Notamacropus eugenii: one gene and its partner. The protein of the gene in region 1 interacts with the protein of each later gene in a pairwise test. Links are inferred from orthologs where the notes say so. Each region holds a gene or a part of one and is shown in the gene's direction. Other genes may lie near its edges.

The links.
Region 2: the proteins of TNNI3 (region 1) and TNNC2 interact in binary tests that used the Homo sapiens proteins (3 or more experiments, as listed by UniProt). The two-hybrid records come from large-scale screens. The link is inferred for Notamacropus eugenii from reciprocal best matches to the Homo sapiens genes TNNI3 and TNNC2.

The regions. Positions count from the first base shown.
Region 1 is NC_092876.1:17,804,944-17,812,960, reverse strand, and holds the start of TNNI3 (troponin I, cardiac muscle), read left to right. Parts: upstream 1-4,926; 5' UTR 4,927-4,941; coding exon 4,942-4,983; intron 4,984-5,097; coding exon 5,098-5,110; intron 5,111-5,305; coding exon 5,306-5,442; intron 5,443-5,802; coding exon 5,803-5,844; intron 5,845-5,975; coding exon 5,976-6,107; intron 6,108-6,297; coding exon 6,298-6,387; intron 6,388-8,017. Other genes in the region: DNAAF3 (dynein axonemal assembly factor 3), read left to right, coding at 222-401, 686-811, 1,194-1,316, 1,778-1,898, 2,345-2,459, 3,109-3,183, 3,282-3,951. UniProt on the Homo sapiens protein: Troponin I is the inhibitory subunit of troponin, the thin filament regulatory complex which confers calcium-sensitivity to striated muscle actomyosin ATPase activity.
Region 2 is NC_092872.1:475,405,031-475,412,919, reverse strand, and holds the start of TNNC2 (troponin C, skeletal muscle), read left to right. Parts: upstream 1-4,850; 5' UTR 4,851-5,075; coding exon 5,076-5,078; intron 5,079-7,199; coding exon 7,200-7,251; intron 7,252-7,363; coding exon 7,364-7,507; intron 7,508-7,590; coding exon 7,591-7,705; intron 7,706-7,889. UniProt on the Homo sapiens protein: Troponin is the central regulatory protein of striated muscle contraction. Tn consists of three components: Tn-I which is the inhibitor of actomyosin ATPase, Tn-T which contains the binding site for tropomyosin and Tn-C.

The DNA.
Region 1 (8,017 bases):
ATGATGGATGGATGGACAGAAAACATTTGTGAAGCTCTTATGGGTCAAACTTAGGGTTGGGCACTGGGGATCTGAAGGTGAAACTTCAGTATTAGTACCTGCCCTGGAAAAGCTTCCATTCTAGCTCACTTCTTACCCTCTTTTTTGGTCTCTGGGTCTCTGCCTCCTGAACCAATTTGCCATCCATCCCTAGTCCAGTCTCCCTCTCTTTCTGCTCTCAGTTCCGGGAGCGGGACTCCCTGGAGGCCGTGTTCGCCTTCTGGGCAGCCTCGGAGGCCGAAGCCTCCTTCCCTCTGAGCCGCTTGTGGGACTCTCGGCTCCGAGGCTACCTGGGCTCCCGCTACGACGCCCGGCTCGGAGTCAGCGACTGGGACTTGCATATGAAGCTGCATGACCGAGGGGTGAGAGCTTCTGGACTCCAGGGTCCTTGGGAGGTTTGTGGGAAGACGAGAACTACCATTCCCAGCAGGCAGCAGGGGAATGTCATTGGAAGGCCGCCTAAGCTTCCCCAGGAGCTTTCTGGGAAATGTAGTTTTAGGTGCCTTCGCATTGGGACATCTGGCAGTTTTAGCGTGGAGATTGAGAGGCTGGTCTCCTGGCTTCCCAAAGAGGCGGGGAGATCAAGGGGGTGGGGAGGATTCCTGAGTCCTTGAACCTCTCCTCCCTTCCTTTCTTTGCCTCTCAGGCCCGGGTCATCAACAGCCGAGAGTTTCGTCGCTGGAGGGAAACCAGTGTGGCCTTTGAGATTCGGGATACTTCGGCCTATCAACTCCCAAACCGAACCCTGGCATCTGGGCGCCTGATGAGTCATGTGCGTACTCTAGGCCCGCTTCCCATCTCCAGCCCTGGGCGACCCAGACTTCATTCCCAAATTCTCATCCCAAGGCGTCCCAGTCGCCCCTGTCCCCTCCAGCCCTTGGTGACCCAGGAGTCTTGAGCCTCACCCACCATCTCAGGAGATCTGAAAGTTCTGGTCTCCACTCACTGTCTCAGGGGTCCGAGGGAGTTCTGGTCCTCCCTCCCAGTCCTTTATTTCAGGGGAGCTGGGCCTCCAGTTTTCCAGCTCTTTGTCCTCAGGGTCTCAGTAGTTCACGTTCCAAGCTTCTGACATCAGAAGAAACAATGCTCCTACCTCAGTCTCCTTGTGGATCCAGACATCCAAAAGTTGAGCAATATCTCTCCTCCAACCTCAGCGTGGGGAGCGTGTGGCTGTGCGAGGCTACTGGGGGGACGTGGCTACCGGACCTTTCGTGGCCTTTGGCATCGAGTCCGATGATCAGAGTGTCCTGCAAACCCGAAATGGAATCCCTGTTAAGGTGCCCACCCGGGCCCCACCTCCAGGGCTTCTCCCCCTTTTTTTTGTCGGTCCTCTGGGCAGACCTACGGGCCTTCTTCTTTAGAGAGGGTGGTCCGGCTCTCTGGCTCTTGCTTTGTCTCTTCTTCTCTTCTCTTGTGTCCCTGTCTTTCCCTCTCTGAGTGGTTCTTTCTCATAGGCTCAGAATCTCTGGTTCCATCCCCCTCTGCGTCTTTGTCCCTCCCCCTGTCAGTGACTCCGAGTCTCTGGCTTTCCCTCTCTAGTTTTGTCTTTGTGATTCTCTCTCGGGATCAGGGTCTATATCTCTTCATCTTCCATCGGAAGACTTCGGCCTCTTCCCCATCTACATCTCCTCTCCGAGTCTTCAGCTTCTCTGGTTGCCCCAACCCCTAGTAGCTCCACTCCAGGGCTCCGCCCATTTCTCTAGGCTCCTCCCACATTTTCTGCCCGTTGCTCCCACAGTGCGCTGGTGAGATCTCCTTGCACAATGTGACCTCGATGTTTCGAAGCCTAGTGACCCCCGGGGATGAGGTGTCTGAGGCCAAACCTGAGGCCAAGGCGGAGGGCGGGGCCCCAGACTCCGGTGAGAAGTGACAGGAGGCCCCCAAACTTTCCTCCTTCCGAGTACCAGAGATTCCTTTTAGTCTCCTTCCTTTTCCTCTTTAGGGCTCTTAGAAGCCATCTGGATTCCCAGAGGGGAAACTGAGGCCAAGAGGAGGGATAGGATACGTGGAGGGTCAGGGGCAAGACCTGGACTAGGGGGAGGGAAGATCAGAGTCCTGATTAGGGGTTTTCCCGAGTCTTTCTCATCCCAGATTGGAGGATGGGGAGGGCCTTGTGAGTCTGTATGCGTGTTCATGGTGTGTACATATGTGTAACGGGACAGGGCAGGACAAGTTGTGGGAAGGTTCAAAGAAAAGGGAGGTGTACTGTCCCGGCACCATCCTCTTCTTCCTCTACTTTCTCCTCCTCCCCCTTCTTCCTGGCACTGAGTGCCTGTCATTCTCTTCTGGTCTCCTTCGGGTTCAGAACCTGCTGGTTCCAGACCTTTCCGGGTCCACTTCCTGCCCCTGGGGGCTGCCCCGACGTTGCACCAGCGAAATCGCTTCCACAGCCGCTTCCACCTTCTCTACGTGTCCTGCGGGTAACTGAGGGCTGGTTCCCCACTCCCCTAGCCCATGCGGCCTTAGGGATCCTGTAGTCAGTCTTAAGGCCCTAAGCCCTTTCTCTTTCTCTTCCTTCGGGGACTCAGGCATCCAGAACTGCCAACCCCATTCCCCTTTCCCTTCCAGAACTCCAGCAGTCTTGATCCCCTAAACCTCACTCCAGTAAACCGAGTGCTGATCTCCAATCCTCTCCTCCCTCGGACCCAGGTGTCCTGATTCTTCCAGCCCTCTCCTCCTCTTTCAGATATTCAGGTGTTCTGAGCCCCCTAATTTTCTGTTCAGGGACTTAGGTGTCCTGATTACTTACCCCCTTCTCTATGGAGCATTACGATATCCCGATTCCCAATCCCTCCTCTCTCAGAGACCCAGGAACACAGATTCCCAGCTCTCTTCTCTAGGAACCAGGGGTGGGGAGGACAGACAGACATCCTGATTGTTCCAGTCCCTCCTCCTTCAGGGACATAGAAGCACTGATCCCCTTGCCCTCTCCTCCCTCGGGGACCCAGGATCACTGATCACCCCTATCCTCTCTTCCCTCGGGGAACCTGGGAGCACTTTCTCCAGCCCTCTTCTCCCAGGGGTTGAGGACCCAGGCGTCCTGATTCGTCCTTTTCCATCTTTCTGAAGGATGGTCCACCAGCTGAGCCCGGAGCTTGGGGCCTGCGTGGCTCCTGGGGGACGCCTGATAGTGGAATTGGCCAGGTGGGCGCTGTCCTCATGCCCAGGGTGCTGAGTTGGGGGGGGGGGCGGTCTGGGTGTCCTGGATCCTGGTTCCCTGACTGTCTCCCATCTATCCTCAGGTACCTTGTGGACTTGCGGTCTAACCAGCTAGAGAGTTTCTCTGAACGGGTCCGGGAGCTGGCTGAGGCTGCTGGTTTCCTACCAGAGTCCCACGAGGATCTCCCCGAAACCTTTGCCCGCTTCTCTCGCAAGCCTCCACCAGGCCAGGATGATCCGCCTCCCCAGGGTGCCCGGGATGCAAGGCAGAACGCCGAAGCCCCGCCCCTTGATAACTTAACTCCTCCCTCAGAGATTTTGACTTTGCCTCCTAAGGCCTCTGAACCTATGTCCTCAGAAATTCTGAGCCCGTCCTCAAATGAGGATGCTCCTGTGCCCACCTCGCCTCCTAGAGGCGCTGAGCCTATCCTTTCTGAAATTCTGAGCCCGTCCTCAAGTGCAGATGTTCCTGGAGCTCTGACTCTGCCCCCCGAGGATTCGGAGCACGCTCCCTATGGCATTCTTGGACCAACCATTAGCCCTGATGTAGCTGAAATGTCGAGTCCGCACCTTGACCCCATGACTCCGCCCTCCGAGAGTCTGAGCTGGCGTACGGATGCTGAGCTAGGCCCTCCTGGAATTCTGACTCCGCCCCCTGGGGATTCCGACTCCGCCCTCTCTGACTTTCTGAGCCCTGCCCCGAATCCTGATGATTCTGGAATGCCCGCTGGGGAGCCAGGTCACCCCTCTTAAGATTCTGACTCCACCTTCTCATTTCCGAGCCCCTCCCCTAACAATTCTGGGTTTGGCTCCAAGTCCTGAGGCTCACGGGATCTTGACTTCATCGCCCAATTCTGACTGAGAGTCCTTGGTCCCCAAATTCTCCCTTGCCCGTTCCCCACACTGTCCACGACTATCTTGGCCCCAGGATTTTGATTCCGCTCCCCTGGCATTCTGAGACTCATAGGATTTTGACCTCTTAGAGTCCCTTGTCCTTCCCAGGGAGTCAGGACTTGTTAGAATAAAGAGATTTGGACCCTACAATCAGTCTGTGGTCTGGGAGGGAGTGTGGCACATCGCCATCGCCTTAAGGAAGGAGGATAGGTCTCAGGACTCCTGGATCCCTAAGAAAAATGGGTCTGGGGCTCACTCCGTCTGGGTCCCTGAGAGAAAAATGGGCTATATAACTAGCATGCTGACTGAATAGGGTTCCAAAGACTGAATAGGTTGGGGCTCAAGGTTCCTTGGTCCAGGAGAGAGGAGGGGCTGGAAAATCAAGACCCTTGCGCCCCCAAGCTAGAAGGGACTGGGGACTGGGAAATCTAGGCCCCGAAGAGGAAGGCTCTAAGGAATGAGAATCCCTGGGTGCCAGAGACGAGCTAAGATAGGCCTCAAGGTTCGTTAGGGAGGAGGAAACAGGACGAGAATGTTCTGAGTCGCCAAAAGAGAGGGGTCCCATGATGAGGACCTCTGATTCCCTGAGGAAGGAGGGGCTGACGTATCAGGATTCTTGGCTTCGTATGGAGGTGGGACCTGAGAGAGGGAGCATCTCCCTCCCTCTCCGCGCCCCCTTATCTCCCCAGCCGAGAGTATATTTAGCCTCAGGCTCAGCTTTTATCCCAGTGTCCCCAGAGGAGCCAGAGGAGATTAGAGGCTAACGGACCCCAGCCCCCCCAAGGTCATCCCGGATACTCGTCCAGTGCCCTTACATCATGGCGGAGGAGTGAGTGTGGTCTCGGTGGCATGGACGCTTGGGTCCCTGGAGGGGCGGGTATCAAGACCAAGGTCTCTGTGTGGGAATAAATTTGTACTGATTTGTCCTAGAACTGAGGGGGAGGGAGGAGGCAAGGGTGGATGCCCACCACCAGTGCAGTAACACCACCTCCCTTCTCTCTGCAGGAGCAGCGACACGGTAAGAGAAGGGAGAGAAGGGAAGGGGGCCTCGGAGCTGGGGAACAGGGACTCCTGGATCCCTGAAGAGGGAGCAGGATGGGACGAGGACACCGGGGTCCTCGAGGATGTGGGGTGGAGGCTTGGAGGCCTGGGCTTCCCCTGGGCGGAGGGTGGGGCCCTGAGGTTTCTAGAAGAGACCACTCTTTGGGTGTAGGGCCTCGGAGCCCAGCTAACCCGGGTCTCCTTCAGTTCCCGGCTGAGTTGCCACCTGCACCCACCCCAGCGGCACCCCCAGTTCGACGCCGCTCTTCTGTCAATTACCGAGCCTATGCCACCGAGCCCCATGCCAAGGTGAGAATCCGGGACCTGAGTGCGGGGATGAGCTTTGGTGGTGGTGGTGGTCGGGGGGATGACCTAGGCCCTTCGGGGGCCCCTTGAAGTCCGCCCTCCCCGGGCCAGTGCTGTCGGGGCAATGGAACACCGCCGCTGGGTTTCTGGCCCCTACCCCAGAACGCTAGCCTCACCCTGTAGGCTTATGGCCCCGCCCCCAGAGCAATAGCCCCACCCTTTGGGTTTCTGGCCCGGTCCCTAATTCTAACTGCATCCCGGGGATTCTGTTTTTCCCTCTTCCCTCCCCACCCCTGAATTCCAGCCCCCCAAATTTCGGTTCCTCTCCTTCCACATTCTGACCCCAGTATTTCCCTCCCGCAGAAAAAGTCCAAGATCTCGGCTTCTCGGAAGCTGCAGCTGAAGGTGAGGAACTGGGCCTGAGAGGGAGCGGTCCGTCAGTCACTCAAGCAACGCGTGGGAAGTGCCCTGAGCGGGAGAGCTGGGCCAGGGCAGTGGCTTCACTCGCCTCCAGCCTGGCTCTCCTTCCTTCCCAGACCCTGATGCTGCAGATCGCCAAGCAGGAGTTGGAGCGTGAGGGGGACGATCGGAGTGGGGAGAAGGGCCGCGTGCTCGGGGAGCGCTGTGCTCCTGTGCAGTTGGCCGGCCTCGGGGTGGCCGAGCTGCAGGTATTAGGACACGCGGGGCTCCTAGCTCCCCTCCTCGCCTCTGTTAGGGACCCAGGAGTCCTGTCCCCCAAAACCTTCCTTAGAGATCCTGGTGTCCATCTCAATCCTATCCCCCCCTCCCAGGGTGCCTGGCATTAGGCCTCCAGTAGATACACTGTAGGGAAACAGGCATCCTTCCCTCTTCCCTCAGGAGCTGTGTCGGGAGCTTCATGCCAGAGTGGACAAGGTGGATGAAGAGAGATATGATTTGGAGGCAAAAGTTACAAAGAATGTCACTGAGGTAGGGAACAAAGGGGGCAGGCTGATCACCTGTGAGCACCTGGCCTGGGGTCAGGGGCTGGAGACTCAGCCAAAAGAGGGCACCTAGAGGACTTGGGGTCCATGTCCCTGGGGTTACAGAGGAAGGCAAGAGACCCACCTCTCTTAGTGAGACCAACCCCTGCTCCTTAGTCACTCAGAACCAGGAATCTGTTTGATGTCCTAGAGGGTCAAAGTGAAAGGCATGCTTAAAGATCCCTCTTTCTGAGTCCCAGTGAGGGAAGTGACCTGCCCATGGAGACTGGAGACCAGACGTATCCAGATCTCTAGCCTACTAGCCCTGGTTTCTTTCTAGCCCCCCAACTCCATACCAAGCAAAGCCAATCCCCTGAAGAAGGACTTCTAGGGGTCAACCTGGGAACCTTCCTCCTGCCTTCTCATCACCAGCCTCCACAGGGGAGAAGACCTAAGAGTGAGGGGCCCCTGAGCCTTGCATCTCCTGCTGGGCACAGAACACCCCTGAAGGGAGGTAGCAAGGGGCATGAGCAGGGCCAGGAATATGCCATTTCCTGCTCCAGCTCAGTTTCCCAACAAAGAGAAGCAACCCTCCCCTCTGTTCCAGGCTTCCCATCTCTTGCTGTGCCTATCCTTCGAGGGTGAAGTGGTGCTCTCCATTTAGTGATGGCCATTCTCACACCTGGTCATGCCCTTCACATCCCAGTGACTCTCAGCTCCTGAGATCATGACCCAAATCTTCTCCCTGCCCCCAACCTGATTTCCCCATGCCTATCTCCCCACCCCAATGTTCCAACCTAATCCCACCTGGCCCTTCCACTGTGCCCTCTGGGAGGCATGTTCCATAGGCAACAACCCTCACTTCATCTTGAATCTATTTCTCTCCCACTCCATCCATCTGCTCTTATTGCAACTTGGCTTCCCCTGAAGACACAGCCTCCTTGGCAGTCATTCATTCTCCTAGGCTCACTGGTCGGGGTTCCCCATTGCTGCTTCCAGGTTCTTCCCCTTCCTCCATCACTCAGTAACCTTTCCTCCTCTGAGGTTCATGATATTCACATCTCTCACCTAATCAAAATCCTGGTAGCCGTTGTCTCCCTTTCTTAATGCGTTTGGTACCTGACAACATTTTTCTTCTCCCCAACTCCTGCCCTCATCCTAGGGGATGTAAACATACATCAAACACCCTGACCACTCAGTTCCCTCAACCTACTCACTTCCCAGAAGCTATTCTGCCACCCCACCTCAGCCAGGCACAAACATATGCCTCCACAGTCAAGATTCCAGAAATCCCCTTATCTGACCATAATCTATTGGGTTTTCACCTCTTCCTCTGCCTCCCTTTATATAACTCTGCTCTTCCTCCTCCCTGTGACCTCCACCCCTTGACCCCTAGGTCTTCTCCCAGGCCATCTTCCCTCCCCAGGCCCTCTATCTCTTCTCCCCATTTTAATTCCTTGGTGAGCCAATTCAACACTGTCCTCTTCTCTTAACTGTTAGTCCCCTTATCATTTTGCTATTGTGCCCAAGATTCAATCTTGGATCACTCCCACCATTCACTCCTACATACCCTGCTGATGAGGGTGGAGAGAATCATGTAACTCTTCTGACTAGACCCCCTACAAACTTGACTGGGC
Region 2 (7,889 bases), on another chromosome or scaffold:
ATTACTTTCATGAGGCAGCTCAGAGAGTTCAGGCCTGGGAGCCGAGAGGCAAGGGAAGAACCTTGTGTTCCTGCTCTAGCACAAACTCACTTTGTGATCCTGAACATGTTATTTTCTCTCTGGCCTTTATCTTCTACATTATATAGAAGATATATATATATACATATATTATATATCTATCTATAATATCTATCTATTATATAGATGATATATATTTACCCAATAAAAACAAAGACAGCAGGAAAAGAGTCATGTATACTAAAATATTTACAGGCTGAATGAACGAAAACATATTAAATACTTATTAAGTACATATTAATTACTTACTAAGTAGTCAGGCATAAAGTGCCAGAAATACTTTCTATGATACCAAAGAATGAGAAACCAATCAAGCACCTATTGATTGGGGACTGGCTGGATAAATATATTTTAAATATATATTTTTATTTATTCCATTACATATTTCCCAATTAAACATTCATTTAAAAATTTTTTGACTTCCTGACAAAAACATAATTATTTATAAGGTAGAGTTATCTGTCCCTGGAGATTATTAGTATTACTATCTGAACATTAAATTCATGGAACCTTAAATTTTTGGAAAGAAACTTTATCTATTGAAGTATCAGCAAGCTGCCACATAGATCCTGCATTTGTGTCCTGGAATATCTGAATATAAAACATTTCTAATGAGCAGAATTTTTCATTTAAATCTAGGGAGTTGTATTTTACAAATTAAAAAAAAAAGTTTGTCATCCAAAAAAACTGAGTTCCAAACTCTTTCCCCACTACGCACTCTTTCCCTACCCCTTGAGAAGGCAAACAATATGATGTCAATTATACATGTGAAGTTGTACAAAACATATTTACATATTTGGCTGAATAAAAAGGGCATACTAATGTAAGGGAATTTTACTCTACCAGGAGAAATGATGTATGTGAAGAATTCAGAGAAACTTCAGAAGACTTGTTACAAAGTGATACTGAGTGACATAAGAAGCAGCAGAACCTTTTATATACTTTTGTAAAGCAAAGAAGGACTTCAGAGATTAAGGCAGTGACCTGTCAGAACTTCAGAGGACTGATGATGAAGCTTTTCTTAACCTGAGAGTTATAGAGGTGTAAAATAAAAGATACGTTTTCCTACATATCCAACATTTTATTTAATGATGTTTAGTTACTTAACTATATTTCTTTGTTACAAGGGAAGGCTCTGTCACAGGGCTGGAATAGATGCAAAAAAGAAAAGACCATCAATGGAATGGGTATAATATCATCTGTGTTGTGAGGATCAGAGTTAATAGATTTTAAGACCCCTTGTAACTCATAAAACATTATTGAAATGTAAAATGTTCAGCTATATTATTCACCTCTCTTCTATCCAAGAACTTACAATGGCCAAATTCAAGCGCTTCTTAATCCATTCTCATCAATTCAACTTTATTTTCCAACTTACTCCTCAAAGGAGCTTTTTTTCCCATCTAGAACAAGCCCAACAATGGGAAGAGGGGCACAAAATTTGAAATCTGGCATACAGAATTGTTTTTTCTCCTCTTTCTTATTTTACCTTTAAAAGGATTTGCTGTCCATTTTTGGGGTGCTAGGACCAGGACCATACGCCAGGGCTGTGAAAGAGAACAGAAACAGGAACCTGAGTGGAAAGACATCCAGAGTACCAGGAACTATCAGCTGTTACAAAACCTTGTGGATTGGGGGGATGGGGGGTGGAAGAAAAACCCATCTCTTTCCTCATGTTTTCCCTGCCTTTCTTATATTCTGAGATCCAGAGGTTGATACTTCAAGGTCCAGAGCTAGAGTTTTAGATACACACACACTTCCTTAGTCCCTCTTCACAATTTGCTGTGGTGTTTGGCTCTGAAATTCCCCTAGCTACAAAGTAGAGAGGGTGGTCAGAAGGAGTGTGAGGAGATAATTGGGCAGAGGGCTCAGCAGGGGCTTCTTAATAATTTTACTTTTATTTTTATTTTCCTTTTATTTTTGCTATGATGAATTAATAGACTGGCCACTATATGTTGATTGTTTATGCCCAGCAAATGTGGGGGGCATTGACTGACTTCAGGTATGGGGTAGAAGAGGGATCAATTGATGGCTTGGTCTTTTAAAATAGGTTGTTGTTTTTTTTAAACCAATATTTCACATTATCTCCTAGATCAGAGGTTCTTAACCTGGGGTTAAAGGACTTAAAATATATATATATATATATATATATACATATATATATATATAAAACTTCATTACGATGGAAATTTTATATATATGTATAAAACTTCATTACGATGGAAATTTGTAGTTGGGGAACTAATTCAGTGCTGCAGACTTGGAGTCAGGAAGACCTGAGTTCAAATGTCACCTCAGATTATGTGACCTTGGGCAAATCACTTAACCTCCGTCTATTTTAGTTTCCTCATCAATAAAATGGAGATAATAATAAAGCCTTCTTCCTAGGATTGTTGTGAGGATCAAATGAACCTTAAGGCACTATGCAAACTGTTATTATTTTGTATATTTAAAAATATTATCCTTAGAAAGGATCTATGGGCTTCACCAGGGGTGGGGAACTAGTGGCTTAGAGGTCACAGAACAATTTGTAAAATTTGGATTCAATCAAAGGGCCACACTTGAGGACCTAGAGGATCACATGTGACTTTGAAGCAGCAGGTTCCCTACTCCTTTCCTAGACACATTCTAGACTATATAAACTTCTGCCATATTGTGGAAGGCATCCATTTAAAAAAAACAAAAAAGGTTAAGAAATCCTCAATAGTGAACCTGACCAATGTCACTAGGGAGAGTAGTTCAGGGGAGGGGTAGTAATCTAAGCTTTTGTAGTCTGAATACTCCTTATGGTCAGTGGGGCAATTGAAACTTTTATGAGTCTCTCCTATATCTGCACTAGAGAGACTACTGAGAAGCTTTGGTTGTTGAGTCAGAGAAAGCACCACCTAGCGGACAATCCAAATACATTGCACACTAGATAATATGTGTAGATGTAGATGTAGATGTATTCTGTAGGCTAAAAGAAGGTAGCATATGAGCTATTTGGGCTCACACTCCTAAAATGTCAGTCTTTATCATGATACATCATTATCATCATCCTCTTCCTCATCATCATGATCATCATCCTCATCAGTATGGTTTTCTTTTAGTCTGAGCTGTGAGCTCCCTAATGAAGATTACACATTCTTATCCCCTATAGCAAGCTGAGCTGGGTTATACTGGGCTGAGCATATACTGGGCTGAGTATACAAGAAATACTTACTGAATGAATAAATGAAGACTGGATGTGAAATCCAGCTCCTTGGGGAGCTAGATGGCACAGTGAGTAAGGCACCAGACCTGGAGTCAGGAAGACTCCTCTTCTTGAGTTCAGATCTGACCTTAGACACTTACTAGCTGTGACCCTGGGCAAGTCACTTTAACCCTGTTTGCCTCAGTTTCCTCATCTGTAAATGAACTAGTGAAAGAAATAGCAAACCTCTCCAGTGTCTGCCAAGAAAACCCCAAATGGAGTCATGAAGACTCAGACAAGACTGAAAGCAACTGAACTATAACAACAAGACTTGGAGTCAGCTGACCTGGGATCTAGTCCTAGCTTGCTGTGGGATGTCCGGCAAGTTGTTTCTATCTGTGGGTCTGTTTCTCCATCTATAAAATGAGGATAATATATATATAAAATACATAATATATACCTGCTTCATATGACTGTTATGAGGGAAGCTCATCCTAAATCAGACAACGTTGTGAGAATACAAAATGAGATGATCATCTTTGTGCCTCAGGACCACTGCCCCTGCCCTTGTGCTTATTCTAAAGATCCCTTCTGGGTCTTGGCTTCCCCAAGGTGTAAATAGTTCCAAACAGGAACTTACCCAGGTCCCTTCCCTCTGCTCCAGCCTGGCTGATGCCTTATTTAGTCTGGCTTGACTGCTCGTGCTTTTCTTGAGAATGTCTATATATAGGGGAAGAAGCCAGTGCCATTTGCCGCTGTCCATCCTGACCTCTCCTTGGCATTTGAATCCCCTGTCTCCCTTCCCCCTATCTCCCCATACCCTCTGCTCAGCTGCTTTCTGGGGCTCTCTTGACCCTCTTCATTCTTCTCTCCATCTGTCCTGTTCCATTCCTGGGTGGGGATCAGGGGTGGGTGGGGACATGTCTCCCAATACTGGAGGCATGCCATTTTCTAGTCTCCTATGCTGGTGTGGGGATAAGCAGGAAATTGTCAGGGCTGCTCTCGGGCTCTCAGGCTAGGGCAGGACTGACTTCTGATACCCACTTAGCACCATGTGTGGTCTGGGAGAAAAGAAGATCTCCCCTTTTAGGGTTTCAATTTTCTCCACTGTAAAATGAAGAGGGTTGGACCAAATGATCTCAAAGTCCCTGCCAGTTCTCACATTCTTTGTTCTGTTCTCTACGGTACTTTCCATTCTGATGTGCTGAAGATTCCTCTTGTCTCTACCATTCTATGATTTTAGAGTCTCACTCCCCAAATGCCTCCTAAAAACTTCCAGATGTCACTAGTGTCCAGAGAAGCCAACAATGTGCTTCCATTCAGGCAAAAGAGAAGGATCCCTTGTGTCTTGTGTCCTTTATCTTCTCTTTCTAGGGCAAAGTTTTTTTTTTTTTTTTGTCATTGCCTTATTCCTCTCTCTAGTCATAGTCAAGTCCTCCTCCCTGCTTGTTATGGCTCAGCTTGGGACAGGTTAAGGGGTCCACTGTCCAGCGTAAAGGCTCCCTGAGAAGAGGGTGGGGCCTCTCCATAAGGGTCTTGGAACATCAAGGCAGGCACCTGCTTGAAGGTTTAAGTTTACCCAGGGCGCCTTGGCTAAATTAGGTAATGGGCTCAGATTTGGGGAGGGGCAGGTGCAGCTGAGCTCTGGGACCTAATTGGATTGGGGAAGGCTGAGGTACACGGATGTCCAATCCCAGGGAGTGGGGGAGGGAGGAAAAGCAAGAGCCCCTACAAATATTGGGGACTGGGGTGGTAGGGAGCCTTTGGGTGTGGAGTACAGAGGAGTTGGAACTGATTGCAGCAGGGGATCTCGTGAGCAGTCACCATGGTAAGTGGCTTCCCTTCCCCATTCCCTCATCCTCAGATCTTTACCCTCTCCCAGAAATTCTGAGAGGAGAACTGAGCTTCATCTCCCTCTCCCTGGACCTTGGGAAAACATGTCCCCAAAAGAAGCTAGGAAGCCTAGGTGACCAGAGGCCACTGACTCAGATGAAAGGCAATATGGGGTAGAGGAGAACACAGATTTAGAATATGGGCACAAATTTTAACTCAGCCATCAACTTACTATGCCTTCCCTCCCACCCACCCCCCAACCCCAGCTGTCACCTCTCCTTCAACCCAAGTCATTTAACCTCTTTCTTCAACTGCAAAATGAGAAGACTGTCTTTTTAAGGCGCTTTCTAGTTCTTAGTCCTATGTATTAGTGAAGTTGTAAGGAATACAGCCATCCAGAGACAAAAAGCAATTTCCCCAAAGTGTCCGCAACTCTCACTTACCCTTCCCAATAGAGAAGCAGTATAGTGTGGGAATTGGAACTGAGGGACATAGGTTCAACTGCCAGCTTTGGTATTTACAATGTGAACAATCTTGGTCAAGTAATGGAGTCTCTCTGGGCTTCAGTTTTCTCACCTGTAAAATGGGAGCATTGGACCATAGGACTCTCAGTTCCTTTCCCTTTCTAAACTCATGATTCTTTCTCTGGAAGTTTTCTTGGAATGAGAGGCTAGTGTCATCTTGGTCTCCTTTGACCACAGAGAAGAGAAGCTCCTGGGGATTTAGGACTCAGAGCATCTGCCTTCTTCTGCCTTTTGGGGCACCAGCCAGCATGTGATCTCTCTGGCCCAATTGCCTCCCTCTAGCTTTTACTATTTTTGTTCAAGGAATCCCAAAGACTTAGGGTCATTTTACAACTGAGTATTGAGGGTAGGGATGTGCCAAGGAAAAAGAAGAAGGAGTCAGAGACAGAGGGGCTCCCCTGGCCCTTGGGCAGGGGCTCTGGGGCATGAAAGGGCATAGCTTGTGGTAAAGAGTGAAGGATACCAGACTTAGATGAAGGGAACTGGGATCAAATTTCATCACTTCTTGTTCCTGTTGTATGTCAGTTTCCTCCTAATCTACAAAATGGGGGACTCAGGTATTGGGCTTAGTTGGTCTTTAAGCTCTAAATTCTAAGTTCAGCTCTAAATTCTACAGGCCTTTGAGGGAGGAGGCATTCTTTAGTCTTCAATACTCCACCCCCAGCCCCTAACCCCCCCAGCCCCTCCCCTCCTTGTCCTCCTAGTCCTTCTTTGAGGAGTAATTGGAGCCTGGGCCCAGCTGTTCCTACAGCCTCAGCCTAAGAATAGCCAAGGCCTGGGTGGGACATGGCAGGGGGAGGGGTCCTATGATCCCTCATGCTCAAACCTGTGGAGATTCTGGATTTAGGCCTCAAATTCCTTTATCAAATAATAGGAATAAATCCATTCATTCCTGGAGTTGGAAGGGGCTTTGGAGATCACCTCCTCCATACCCTTAATTTTTATTGATGGAGAAACTGAGGCTGTGCTGGAACTTGCCCTCAGGTCTGCAGACTCCTAACCTGAGATTTTTTCCAGTAGATTACACCAGCTCACAGCGTAGGACATGCAATTACCCTCATTCAGCAAAGAATTGTCTGAGGTTCATTGAGGTTAAGCATGTTACCCCTTTATACTCCATAAAGCTAGTATGGGGTAATGGATGTTGTACTGAAGTCAAATTCTAGGGTTCAAATTCTAGCTCTTCCATATACTTACCTATGACTTTGGGCAGATGCTACCAAACCCAGAAGACTTTGAGTAGAGACTATCTGATGTCCAAGGACTAGGTCTAACTCCTAAGTAAGAAGAAATTTGTCATCAAAAGATTGGTCACCAGATGGTGATTTGGGGGCTCAGAAACTCATAGGGTCAGAGTTCAGATCTAGAAGGAACCTTAGAGACTATCTAGCCCAATCTCCTCATTTTACTGATAGGAAAATAAGGACCCGGAAATGTGAATGACCTACTTTAGGTTACATGAGTAGTAAGTTAGGGATGTAAATACAGGTTCAGCAGGGATCTCTTAACTTTCCCAAGCCTAACCCTGGGAGTTCCCCTTTACCTTTCTTCTTCCCTGGGACCTGGTACCTGACTTCTCTTGTATCTTGCAGACGGACCAGCAGGCGGAAGCCCGGTCCTTCCTCAGCGAGGAAATGATTGCTGGTGAGTGTGTATTTTGAGAGGTGGACACTTGGCTGGGAGTGGGACTTATGGCTGTGCCAGTCCTCCAGGTTAACAGATTCTTTTGTTATTGCTCCACCATCTTCCCTCTCAGAGTTCAAAGCTGCCTTCGACATGTTTGATGCTGATGGTGGTGGAGACATCAGCACCAAGGAATTGGGCACAGTGATGCGGATGCTAGGCCAGACACCCACCAAAGAGGAGCTGGATGCCATCATAGAGGAGGTGGATGAAGATGGTGAGCGGGCATCTCCCAGGAGGTGTGAAGAGCAGGTGACTGCATTTGGGCAGGGCCTCTGACACTCACTCTCTCAATCGCAGGCAGTGGTACCATCGACTTTGAAGAGTTCTTGGTCATGATGGTGAGACAGATGAAGGAGGACGCGAAAGGAAAGACTGAGGAGGAGCTGGCTGAGTGTTTCCGTATCTTTGACAGGTTAGGCCTGGTGCCCACTGGGGCCATGTTTCCCTGGGAAGGTGTTAGTGAAGGGAGGGGAGTGGAGATGTGCCATACCAGGCGGCTTAGAGTTCAGACTCAGCCCGAGTGGACTGGGGAAGGTATGTGTGAGGAAGGGGCGAGGGGGGGTGGGGAGAAGAAAGGGCTGGAGAAGAAGTAAAGT